Linked DNA regions of Xenopus tropicalis. The protein of the gene in region 4 interacts with the protein of the main gene of each other region in a pairwise test. Links are inferred from orthologs where the notes say so. Each region holds a gene or a part of one and is shown on either strand. Other genes may lie near its edges.

Region 1 (3,575 bases), on a different chromosome or scaffold from region 4:
GCCCTCCTGTCCTCAACAAGGAAGTGTCCCTACCACCTGTAATTCAGCGGCCACCGGGCACAGTGCTCCCTGAAATCAAAACCACCCCTCTGAGCATGGGAAGCCCCAAGCCATTACACCATTACCAAGCTCCTGTACTGGCCATTGCACATCATCCCCTTATGCAACAGCAACAACAGCAGCCTATACAGCCTCAGCCTACAGCTCTACAGACTCCACAACCGCCTCATCCTCAACCCCTGGGTGCCCTCAGACTTCCAATAACAGATGATGGAAGGCCCAATGAGCAGCGGCGGAGGCCTGGAGGGTAAGGACTTCTTTGTGAGATACCGCAACACAATATCTGATCTCTTCAACCTACATAATATTTGACCTGATTATAGGAGCTCAGGGAGAAAAGAAAGCAGAGAGGGTATTTCTAGGGCCCCCAAACCTCATACTTCACGTTAGAGTTACCTAGCAGCAAGGGGACTTTATTTCCAGCACTGGTAGCAAGATATCGATAGTACATTGTGTAAGGTCGTTTGACAGGGACAAATTAACACTTGTGGCAGTGGGTAAGTGCAGCTATATTGCATTATATGTCATCAGAGAAATAGCATTTGTTAGCGCTGAATACATTTTTTCAGGGAACCAAATCTAAGTTCTGTGTAACTATAAAAAATATTAAGTAAATTCCAGAGAGTCCAGAGGTGTTCTGACTGTTCTGTCATAGAAATAAAACCATAAGTTGCTCATAAGTATATTTATATGTATCTCATGTTTTAACCAAAGAATATATACTTGACTCCATGTCCATCCATGTCGGTGAGCATTGTTTCCTCCAGTTTTTAAAGGGAGAAAATGCGAAATGTCTAGAACTTTCCTGGCTGCTAAATCCTATAATAATAAAGCCAAGCACTTCACTTCTAACTAGTGCCACACAGGGCGGATTCTCGGCCTGTCGATAAATGCAGGCCAAGAATCCACCCCTATGCTTAAAAAATCTGATAGTTGTGGCTGCATCTGGAGCCATTGTATTGGCCTGGGCGCAGCGACACTAAGCAAAGTTTGTTTCGAAACTTCACGAGCAAGCAGTTAAGTGCCAAATTCTGTTTAGCCAATACAATACAATGCCTCCAGGTGCAGCCACAACTATCAAGCATAGGGGTGGATTCTTGGCCTGCATTTAATCACAGGCCGAGAATCAACCCTGTGCGGCACTAGCCTTAGAAGTGAATCTCTGAGACTAAGATGCCCCAGTAACTCCCAGTCGTCTTTTCTGCTAAATCACTGCACATGCTCTTTGCTTCTTTCAGTTATCTTAGCTAGGGACCTTCTCACAATATATTTACTTTCTAAAATTCACATTCATCAGAATTGATTACTAATGAGCCCTTTAGCAACATTTCAACCTCATTTTGTACTAATGATATGATGATTTCCAGTGAAATTTTGCATTAGACAACTCTAAACAGGCCATTACTGTTATGGGGCTGCTGAACTTCTGAGCTACTGCAATAAGTTCAGTGCATAAAATATAGCATTTCTAACTATATTGTCAGTGTTTTTCGGCAGCAAATTTTTCCACCCAGATTAGGTGAAAGAGTAGCTGGTTGGGGGGAAAAAATATACCATACACTTTGAAGCCTTGCCCCAGCCTTGTCCTTGGTAATAGACATTTCCCAGAAGTGCACAATCCTATCTGCACCTGTGAAAGATTTCTGTTCCTTTGGGCAAGACTGGGTCTTGAGGGTGCATCAGAGCTCCCAGTTAAATTAGACTCGTAAGAACAAGGTTTTTAAGGCTTTAGCTCTACTTTAAGTTATCCAATAACAAAATATTACTTGTGTCCTATTTGTGTAGCCCTCAGGTTAAATGCCTTGGCAGGGTTGTTATCATTTATTTTCTTGTACTGACAACGCAAACTACCTTGGGGCAGTAAAAAGTGGAACTGAACATGATGTTATTTTAAATCAGTCTTTTCGGAAAACTCAGTGATGTAAACCTGGTTGATGTTGCAGTAGTTGTTCCTTGTATTTAGCCTATGACAGAAAAAAAGCCAAGTTTTGGTATTTTCGCTACAGCTTAATTGCAAACATGCCTTCAGTGTCGGACTGGGTCAGCAGGGCACCGGGAAAAAACCCGGTGGCCCCTTTGCTTCCAAATTAGCACTGCCTACAAAGGGAAAGGGTCTGGATGTATTGAGAATGGATAGGAAACCACCAGATTTGCTGAGGGTGCAACCCATTGCATGCACTGAAGACTTTTTGGGTGGGGGCCCTGTTAGCTTTTTTACAGAAAGGTAAACAAAATAGACAGTTTGCCAACTATACCGTGTTGATACAGGTATGGGATCTGTTATCTGGAAACCTATTATCCAGAAAGTCCAGAATTATGGGAAAACTGTCTCCTATAGACTCCGTTTTAAGCAAATAATTATGATTTTTAAAAATGATTTCCTTTTCCTTTGTGATAATTAAACCATGCCTTGTACTTGATGGTAGCTAAGCTGCATGAATCCATACCATCCTCTACTGTGAGAGACCAGCCAGCTGGACAGATCATAGATTTCTAATATTTTTCTTTGAAATTTTAATATTTATGAATGTCACATAAAACAAAGTAATATAGTTGCAACATATTTTATCTATATTTTCTTTTAACTCATATTTGTTGGTAAGGAAAAGGTTCCTTTTTTTATCAGGTGAAGTAGTTTAGATTATATAGAGAAGACTGCTTCTGGTCCTTATGGACATATATACAGCTCTGTTAGCATTATATAAATCATCAAATTCAGATTTCATAAAGTCCTAAATTTTTTTTGTTTTTTTTTTTGTTTTTTGTTTTTTTTCTTTTTGCGTGCAGGGCAGGCACCCGGGAAGTCCATAATAAACTGGAGAAGAACAGGTGTGTATTTAAGCCAGGCCCTGTTTTATTCAGCCTCTGGTTTAAGCTTCCTATTCGATTTCAGCATATCTTTCTGCCTACTTTTAAGTGACCTCTATCCACCAATTGCATGCAGAAATGCATGTAACATTGACCTAAGCTCTTCTTTTGCTGGAGTTTAAATCCATTAAATGCTGCAGGGCGCTTATAATTAATTGCTGTGCAGTGTTGCTGAACTCCATGTCTACTAATGGACTGGCCTCTTGTTTATTACAAAAACCCTGCTCTGCCAGTAGAACCTGGGATGCGTTTTCTACATTGAATAGGCTTGCCTATGACTCTCTTATGGCCACTCTGTAGCCATATAGCATTTATACAACATCTCCCAGAATGCCATGGGTGGCCGAAGGCTTCAATATGGTGCTGGGAGTTGTTCCTGCTGGTGGGTTGCAGGTTTGACTTTAGTAATATCCCAGTGGAATATCAATGTTTTTCTTCATTAGTGAGAAAAGCATTGGTATCTCACCACATCAGAGGTAGGTTACAAATGCTGTTGGGCTTTACTAGTAACATGGTATGAATTTGCGCAGTCAACTCATTCACTTCATAGCAACCAAAACATTATTTGTAGTAAATATTCTAAGGAGGTGGACCAGCTAAAAAATAAAGGATTAGTGCAAGGCTACAGCAAAGTGAAAGTCTATCCT
Region 2 (3,453 bases), on a different chromosome or scaffold from region 4:
ACCTCACACCAAAACTCACGGCCCAAGTTAGAGAAGAGGGGAGGGGGCTCCAAGGCAACACTGAGAAGTTGGGGGCTAACAAACATTTTGGGGGCTGATATCCTTGATACATGTGCTGTTAATATCTTACAATGGGGCTCATTTACTTTATGACTGGGAAAAAATTACCTCACTGTAGGACTCACAGCAACCAAAATAACTTGCTTGGATCAGTCTGCTGAACACTGAATGCAAATATCTAATCTGGTTGCTATGGTTTACTGCACTTCGGCAACAGTGCCCAGTGTGGTAAAAGAGCTCCAGTATATATTCCACCCAAGGTCCCCCCCCTTCTCTCCTTGGCAAGTGCCCCTATGCTAAAACTTGGCCGTTCCACAATGTACTTTTTTTCTCCCCTGCAACATAGTGCCTTGTTGCAATCTGTAGTGGTGTGGTTACAATGCAAGGGGCCTCAGCACATAAAAGCTCCTTGTCGGGACTGAGCATGTTCAGCCCTTGCCAAATGGCAGTTGACATATCAGTAACTTTCTTTTTTGAAATTCTTTTTTTTTTTAAGTTTTTTTTCCTTGTTTTCTCTTTATAAGTGCCTTCAGCTTGGTGGTCCTGAATTGGTCCAGTGTTCAGGCCACTATGAAAGTCTGGAATTGAGCCTCAGGGAATGTGTGTATCCACTACTGCTGGAGCCGCTTTGCAAACTGTAGTGGTCATCAACGTCACTGCCAATACTGTCTATTTCCCCTGGCGTGAACTCCATGCCTTCAATATCGACCTCTGAGGAGAGAGGAAATGGAGAGGTTCAGCCATAACATTTGCATGCATCGGTTGTAACATTTGTAAATATTAATTAGGTGTATAACTAAGATAATGATGTGAAATGTACGCTGAGAATGGGGACTGGCATGGCCTCAGAAAGGCTCACTGTGATCAGGGTCGGACTGGACCACCGGGACACCAGGAGAAATCCCAGTGGGCCCCGGCGGCCCAAACCCGACCCGACCCTTGCCAGCGCTCCCATTGTGTGACCGTTCCTCCCCTAATGCGTTAAAGTTATGTGCGCTCAGCGAGGATGCCGGGTTGGGGACCCTGCAGGATCCATGATGCAGGAGGCCCGGTGGGCCTTGCAACCCAAGTCCGACCCTGACTGTGATTGGCTAACTTGCTGCATGCAAATTATGATATACCAAGCTATCATTAAAGGGAACTAAAGCGCAACTAAAGAAGTAGGGCTTCTGGGCTTCTGTACCAGCCCAAGGCAACCATAGGCCTTTAGCAGGGAAGGTCTGTGCCCCCATAGATGCCCCAGTAGCCCCCCATCTTCTTTTCTGCTGATTCCCTGCCCATACTCTGTGCTGCTGTAACTTACCTGAGCTTAGGGGCCCACTCACTATATACTGTATATATACCGAGTATAAATGGCACACTATACTGTATATATAGAATATAAATGTCACACTATACTGTATATATAGAATATAAATGTCACACTATACTGTATATATAGAATATAAATGTCACACTATACTGTGTAGCAGGGAAGGTCTGTGCCCCCAAAGATGCCCCATTAGCCCCCCCCATCTTCTTTTCTGCTGATTCTCTGCCCATACTCTGTGCTGCTGTCACTTACCTGAGCTTAGAGACTCACTCACTATATACTGTATATATAAAATATAAATGTCACACTGTACTGTATATATAGAATATAAATGTCACACTATACTGTATATATAGAATATAAAGGTCACAATATACTGTATATATAAAATATAAATGTCACAATATACTGTATATATAGAATATAAATGTCACTATATACTGTATATATAGAATATAAATGTCACACTACACTGTATATATAGAATATAATGTCACACTACAGTATACTGTAAATATAGAATATAAATGTCACAATATTGTGACATTAGTAATTTATGTGGATTTACATTACATGGCAGCCCAGAAACCAGTGCAGTAAACAGAATTTAATAATCAGCCCTATAGCATCACTTTATATGACAGGCCAACCTCATACTCTGTAATAATTTCCTATGACCCCTAAGCTTAGCTTCTCAGCTGCTGCCCTGAGAACACCAACGGGGTTATGTAAAAAAGGAACCAAGTTTGCCCAAGTGCAGTAACCCATAGCAACCAATCAGCAGGTAGAATTTTCTGGTGACTTGTTTAAAAACACACATGTTGATGGGTCTATGAATAACTGCTCCTGTGTCCTGTATTACATATGGTGGTACGCATGAACCACCTACGGGTGGGCGATATCGGGAGAATCCCTGGGGCCAAACGATCAAATTATAATGGCGGGTATAGGAAAAATCGGTCCGGGAGCTGCATCAATAAGCCGATGCGGTCCCCGATCCGACTAGATTTTTTAACCTGCCCGATCGATATCTGGCAGATTTCAGGACAGGTATCAGTTGGGCAAGCCCGTCGGTAGGGCCCAATTAGCTGCCGAATCGGTCTAAGGGACCGATATCAGCAGCTAGAATCGCCCCGTGTATGGGGACCTTTAAGCAACAGAAACTGTCATCTTAGTATTTCTCAGTGACAAGTATTACTAGGGTAACGAACATGTTACTTAGCAGAAGGCCTTTCGTGATTATTACATAGCCGCACATCTGTGTGCTCTATTTTGAACCGCCGCTTCCCCTATGATTACAATGATGACTGAGTTCATCATCAATGTATTGCAATAAGCAGTAGGGTGCAGGCGTGTAGGGACCCTAGGGCAGGCAGTAAGGACAGGGCTCCCCTGTGCCCCCCGACGCTGCATTCTGTACCTAGTACCGGATTTTCAGTCCAGCTCCAGGTGCAGAGTGCATCATTCCCAGGGCGCAATCGCTTGTTAAATGAGTGTAGCCCAGTGTAGCCCAGCCATAATTAGAATTATATAGAGCCAAAATAGGCAAGGTGACCAATTATTCTCCATTACCTTGCTCCGAATCTGTGGATATAATGGAGCCCATGCTGTCAGTGCGCATTCGTTCCATCCCGTGCACGGAGAGCTGCTCTAAACGGCGCTTGAGGTAGCGATGTTCTCTCTGAAGCTGTTCTTTAACATTGAGAGCTTTTCTGTCCTGTTCTTCTAGTTTCTACCAGAATTACCAACAAAAAAAAAGACAGACTATGATAAGCAGCAGCAGCAGCATATATTGGCCATAGATGAATACCAAACAGATAGACGGGGAGTGGGGGAAATAACCGATTGACAGCTCCAGGTCTAGTAACCCATAGGAATCAATCATATGTTTGTTTTTAATTAGTAGATCAATAGATGCTAACTACCGATTGGTTGTTACTAAACCTAGAGGAAACTCAAATGAATTCCCCAGTTACATGTCCAAGCTAAATTACCCATCATTCTAGCTGAATGCGTGTCTAGCTAAAGTACCTTTATGTGCATTTTGGCTCTTTTCAGAAGGCTTAGAGTAGTATGTCTGT
Region 3 (2,783 bases), on a different chromosome or scaffold from region 4:
GTACTGTTTGGATCTAGCTACGAAAATGTTAAAGTGCGTGTCCCAAACACTGCCTGGTAAAAATCCAACCGTTAGCATTCTGGGTGGGTTATGTTCAGTTAAGGACGATGAAGGCCTGCTTGCAGTTTTTTTGTAGTGCATGCTCTTTTCAAGGTGAATTTCTTTAGATTAGGGATAAAAACAAAAACTAAAACTTGACTGCCATTTGGGGAAAAACAGCAAGAGATTCTGGTACTGCAAATACACTGAAAAAAAAGAAGGAGCACTGATATCATATAGAAAAACCTTTCAGGCTCCATTAATTTACTCTTCCCTTGCTATAGAAAGGCAAATGAAAAATGCCTGGAAGTCTTCTTGTGAACAGAAAAGGGTAAGATTCCAGTTACAAAATGATAACAGGTTTACATAAAAACATGGAATCATTAAAAAAAAAAAAAAAAAACATCAGCTTGTAGAGGAGAGGCTGTGGCAACAGATAACGATTATGAAAAGTAAGCAAGACTGACACCAATAACAAAAAACACAATATAATAGACATAGCAAGTGGCTTTATAGATCTCCGAATAAAGGCTAGAAGGCGCCAGCGTTGCAATTTAGACTGTGCTGGGTTTGGTGCATTAGATGCACGATTCTGTGAAAAAATATAATAGCAGCATTCTCACTGTTCTAAGCCAAAATCACTGAATCAAGACTCAAAGTCCCATCCAGATTTCCTTGGTGGCTTCTTATTGGATATTATAGTAGCTGTAAACTAAAGGTCTTGCCGTATAGCAAGATTCTTTTGACATATTCCTTCATACCATTTTCCAGATGTGAAGTGAAGCAAAAAAAAAAAAAAGTTTTGGTGTTGCTGGGAGATATTATGACCTTTTAACTGGGCCAATTGTACCGGCAATAGACCAGGTACCAGCTGGATGAATATTGTTATCTTGTTTATCAGCCAACAACCATTTCCAGTAAATAATATAGATAGTTTTTTCCTCTTGAGTGCTTCCTGGTGATTCTGGAATGTGGTCTTCTCGAGTAGATTTGGCTGATGGGTTAGCAAGTGATATTGAGTGTAAACTGAAACCCATACAGCTCCTTCGGAAAAGGGGGGAGGGAAACAGACTGCTGGAAGGTCTGAGTTTACAAGTTCACGTGCAAGATAATGGTGTGAAAGCCAATAGATAACAGTGTCTGATGTGAGAGCAATTGGGAGTAGTGTGACGAACTGCTAGAAATCTCTCGCAACCATCCTTCCCCCCTCCCCTTTTTATCTTCTCTGATTGGCTGTTTAAAGAGCTGTAATTTTGGGATTGTCCTGTAGTTCTATCCTCTTAAGACCAGAGCTGGAATATCCTTCATCACTGCAGATGCTTTGCATACTCCCCCTCTCATCCAAGTCACTCACACTACTGCTACTGCTGCTCCAATCCAGATCTGCAGTTAAATAGTCCGTGCTTTCTACGTCCACATCAATTTCCTCTGTGGAAATAAAGTACCAGGAGTCAGCAATAAACCCAAAGCAAAGAAATACAGCTTTCAGTTGTACTGACAAATACAAAAATTAACTTTAAGTATGATGTATCCAGTAATATTCTGAGACAATTTGCAATTGATTTTTTATGATTTTTTAGTTATTCAGTGTTTTTTTTCAGCAGCTCTCCAGTTTGGTATTTCAGTAGCTATATGGTTACTGAGGTTTTAACCCTAGAAGCTAGGCAATGGTTTGAATGAGAGACTAGAATATGAATAGGAGTGTGTAGACCCCCCCCCCACACCCCCCATTTAAAAAATGGAAAGATGCAGAGGAGAAATGCAAATAATTAAAAAAAAAAAGAAAAAAAATAATTAATGAAGAGCCATTACAAAGGTTATTATGAATAGTTAAAAGGTAACAAAGTTGAACCACCCCTTTAATGAAACACATGGGAAATGCATGCAAACATGCAATGCATGCACACAATAATATATTTGCAGGTAGCAGATAAAGGGTTAATGGTGTGTCTCCAATTATTTGAGCCGCAGCGCAGCACAAAGGGACCATCTACTGGAAACCACTGTGTTAAACTGTACAGTTAGGCCAAGCACGAGTTAACTGAATGAATCAAGATTTTTGAAAATAATGCAAAGAGATTATGAACAGTTTATTAAGAAAATCTATTTTTTTGTTGTTGCTGTTGATATAAAACAATAAACTGAAAGGGGGATGGGGTATAAGTTACCTCTGTCCGAGTCTGATCGTTCTGAAGACATAGCTGACCCTATACTGTCCATGCGCGTCCTTTCCACCCCAAATTTTTCTAGCTGCCTTTTTAGATGTCGCTGTTCTCGTTGCAATTGTTCAATTTGGTGCAGAGACCTTTTGTCACAATCTTCAAGTTTCTTTAAAAGAGAAAGAACAAAAGAAATAATAAGTATTTGGTGTATGTATATGTATATATGTATATATATATATATATATATATATATATATATGTATATATATATATATATATATATATATATATATATATATATATATATATATATATATATATATATAGACACACACACGTTAAAAAAATAATATAACTTTAGCTTACCTTAATGTGCGACTTTGCTCTTGTTAATAGACTTAATGTGGTATGCCTATTGGATTCAGGTCCAAGAGGAACCAATATCTTTAGCTTTTCCAGACATAATCTTAAATGGGCTCGTCTAAACAGGAAAAAAAGAATAATTACATCCACATTAGAAAAACAATCATGGCACAATATGCTTTTCAGTTACACATAACAAAAAATATGAACTGGAGAGTA
Region 4 (3,277 bases):
AAAAGGGAATCATTTAACCATGAAATAAACCCAATAGGGCTGTTCTGCCCCCAATAAGGGGTAATTATATCTTAGTTGGGATCAAGTACAGGTACTGTTTTATTATTACAGAGAAAAGGGAATCATTTAACCATGAAATAAACCCAATAGGGCTGTTCTGCCCCCAATAAGGGGTAATTATATCTTAGTTGGGATCAAGTACAGGTACTGTTTTATTATTACAGAGAAAAGGGAATCATTTAACCATTAAATAAACCCAATAGGGCTGTTCTGCCCCAATAAGGGGTAATTATATCTTAGTTGGGATCAAGTACAGGTACTGTTTTATTATTACAGAGAAAAGGGAATCATTTAAACATGAAATAAACCCAATAGGGCTGTTCTGCCCCCAATAAGGGGAAATTATATCTTAGTTGGGATCAAGTACAGGTACTGTTTTATTATTACAGAGAAAAGGGAATCATTTAACCATGAAATAAACCCAATAGGGCTGTTCTGCCCCAATAAGGGGTAATTATATCTTAGTCGGGATCAAGTACAGGTACTGTTTTATTATTACAGAGAAAAGGGAATCATTTAACCATGAAATAAACCCAATAGGGCTGTTCTGCCCCCAATAAGGGGTAATTATATCTTAGTCGGGATCAAGTACAGGTACTGTTTTATTATTACAGAGAAAAGGGAATCATTTAACCATGAAATAAACCCAATAGGGCTGTTCTGCCCCAATAAGGGGTAATTATATCTTAGTTGGGATCAAGTACAGGTACTGTTTTATTATTACAGAGAAAAGGGAATCATTTAACCATGAAATAAACCCAATAGGGCTGTTCTGCCCCCAATAAGGGGTAATTATATCTTAATTGGGATCAAGTACAGGTACTGTTTTATTATTACAGAGAAAAGGGAATCATTTAACCATTAAATAAACCCAATAGGACTGTTCTACCCCCAATAAGGAGGAATTATATTTTAGGCTGGGGGTAAATTCCCTGTCAATCTGCTCTGCTCCAAATTTCGATACCACTCATGAGAAGGAAATTATGTTTGAACGCAAACTGTGAAATAGCAATTGCAGCAATTTCTGGGCAGAAATCAATAACTTCTTAGCTGATAACTATTAGTTTAATTTGGCACTGTGCAGCACTCTCTCTTTATATGGTAAAGGACAGATGGTTGGTTTGGCTTATCATGGTGTTAAATAGCATCTATGTGCCTCACCGTTTCTGTAGCCTGCAACATGATGGACAATGCTTGTTCCCTAACCTCAGATGACGAGGACAGTGATGACCGCCAAGAGACCATAAAAAATGACTACAAGGACCGACGCAGACGGGCACACACCCAGGCTGAGCAGAAGAGAAGAGATGCCATCAAAGTAAGAATTGAAGGCTACATATTGGGGAAATAATCTGAAGACTGAGGGCTGTCTGCAAAGAATTCACTGTAGATATAACATAATGGTGGCCGGGGGGGCAGCCCCCATATCTACAGTGACTATGGGGCTTGGTGTGACCCCTTGTATCTGCAATGTATTTGCTGTAAACAGCCCATAGTGTAGTGGGCTTGATTATTAGATACTGTATCTATAAGGGTAAGGTTATATTGCAACGGCATCATACATAGGGTCCTGCTTGACCAGGATGGGGTGGGGGTATCAGAGACCGTTAAGAATAAAAGCTTTAGGGGTCATCATAAATTATCAATCAGAAAATAAGGTTGGCCTGTCATATAAGCTGATGCTACAGGGCCAATTAATCTGCTGCTAATTGCACTGGTTTCAGAGCTGCCATATAGCAATGATCTGTATTAATTACTAGTCAGCCTTATATTGTGACATTTATATTGTATATATACTGTATATTGTGAGTGGGTCCCTAAACTCAGGTAAGTGACAGCAGCACATAGTATGTGCTGGGAATCAGCAGAAATGAAGATGGGGGGCTACTGGGGCATCTTGGGGGGCACAGATCTTCCCTGCTAAAGGGCTGTGGGTGCCTTGGGCTGGTACAGAAACCCAAAATATCATGTACATTTACATACACCTAGTATGAATAGGTCCTTTTTTTTTCCTATATGGATTTATAATAGAATAGCATAGAGAGGTGTCGGCACTCATAGGATTTCCACGATCATATTGAAGAGAATACTCATGGGTAAATGCAAACGGTGAGGTTTATTTAGTCCTACGTTTCGGTTCCCTACTGGAACCTTCGTCAGGGAAGATTTATAATAGAATGTAAAGGGCTCTTCCTGGGTTTCTCACCACAATAATGGCTTCTGCCTGTATCTTGCAGAAAGGCTACGACGACTTGCAGTGCATCGTGCCCACCTGTCAGCAGCAAGACATCGCTATAGGAACACAAAAACTCAGCAAGGCTGTTGTTCTGCAGAAGAGTAAGTATTCTGCCCCCACAGTACCCCCCCCACACACATCAATGACAATTGCAACTGCCTTGTATTGATAGCTGTATGGTTATGCGCCATGTAAGGGCCACTTCTGGGTATGGTGTGGGGAGCAGTTATCAGCTGAAATGCTGCTTCGTTGGGATATAGCTGCATTTAGGGTAAATGGATATTATGATTAGCCAAACTAGCAATCTGCAAGCATTTCCAGGGACAGTACCTTCCTGTTCAACATGAGTGTAACAAATAGGACATAAGCCAGATATACTCTCTGCCTGTTGTTTTTATCACAAAAAAATTTATTGTTTTTGTTTCTTGAACTAAACAGGACAAATAGATATGGTTCTTATGAAGTAGAAGGTTAGATTACCAGTGCATAGCCACAGCAGTCCAACAAAGAGTGAAGGGGGTGGGTTGTTTATACAGAGCTTATTATCTTTAAACAAAAGGTGGCTATACATGGTACTGGAACCTCGCTAAACAAGTGGTCTTTCCCCTGATATGCCGACCTTGGGTGGGGGATATCGTGCTAATGCGATTTATTTGGCATAACTGAGCCAACAAGGTCCTTGATCCGACAGAAAAATCAAACCTGCCTGAACTACATCTGACCAATTTTAGGCCAAATATCGGTTGGGGAGGCCTGTCGGAGGTCCCCATACACGGCAGATAAGCTAAAGAACCCAAAAGGTGTATGGCCACCTTTATTCAGCTAATTAATGGTAAAGTGGGAAAGTTTAAAAGCCGGATAAGGCTCTGTTATTGAGTGAAGGGGATGGGTTGTTTATACAGACCTCATCTCTGGTTACGCTAACTCTGCTAATTGATGGTTACATTTTAAAGTTTGAAAGCCAAATAAGGCTCCGTTATT

Evidence for each region.
Region 1: the proteins of mlx (region 4) and mnt interact in a two-hybrid assay, tested with the Homo sapiens proteins (2 studies listed by BioGRID and IntAct). The link is inferred for Xenopus tropicalis from reciprocal best matches to the Homo sapiens genes MLX and MNT.
Region 2: the proteins of mlx (region 4) and mxd4 interact in a two-hybrid assay, tested with the Homo sapiens proteins (2 studies listed by BioGRID). The link is inferred for Xenopus tropicalis from reciprocal best matches to the Homo sapiens genes MLX and MXD4.
Region 3: the proteins of mlx (region 4) and mxd1 interact in a two-hybrid assay, tested with the Homo sapiens proteins (2 studies listed by BioGRID and IntAct). The link is inferred for Xenopus tropicalis from reciprocal best matches to the Homo sapiens genes MLX and MXD1.

What each region holds. Positions count from the first base shown.
Region 1 is NC_030678.2:47,682,721-47,686,295, reverse strand, and holds part of mnt (max-binding protein MNT), read left to right. Parts: coding exon 1-307; intron 308-2,847; coding exon of another isoform or gene 2,848-2,889; intron 2,890-3,575. UniProt on the Homo sapiens protein: Binds DNA as a heterodimer with MAX and represses transcription. Binds to the canonical E box sequence 5'-CACGTG-3' and, with higher affinity, to 5'-CACGCG-3'.
Region 2 is NC_030677.2:21,432,310-21,435,762, forward strand, and holds the end of mxd4 (max dimerization protein 4), read right to left. Parts: coding exon 3,404-3,453; intron 3,105-3,403; coding exon 2,945-3,104; intron 772-2,944; coding exon 629-771; 3' UTR 570-628; downstream 1-569. UniProt on the Homo sapiens protein: Transcriptional repressor. Binds with MAX to form a sequence-specific DNA-binding protein complex which recognizes the core sequence 5'-CAC[GA]TG-3'.
Region 3 is NC_030679.2:121,959,139-121,961,921, reverse strand, and holds the end of mxd1 (max dimerization protein 1), read right to left. Parts: intron 2,683-2,783; coding exon 2,568-2,682; intron 2,368-2,567; coding exon 2,208-2,367; intron 1,468-2,207; coding exon 1,277-1,467; 3' UTR 529-1,276; downstream 1-528. UniProt on the Homo sapiens protein: Component of a transcriptional repressor complex together with MAX. In complex with MAX binds to the core DNA sequence 5'-CAC[GA]TG-3'. Antagonizes MYC transcriptional activity by competing with MYC for MAX binding.
Region 4 is NC_030686.2:6,141,064-6,144,340, reverse strand, and holds part of mlx (max-like protein X), read left to right. Parts: intron 1-1,232; coding exon 1,233-1,378; intron 1,379-2,297; coding exon 2,298-2,397; intron 2,398-3,277. UniProt on the Homo sapiens protein: Transcription regulator. Forms a sequence-specific DNA-binding protein complex with MAD1, MAD4, MNT, WBSCR14 and MLXIP which recognizes the core sequence 5'-CACGTG-3'. The TCFL4-MAD1, TCFL4-MAD4, TCFL4-WBSCR14 complexes are transcriptional repressors.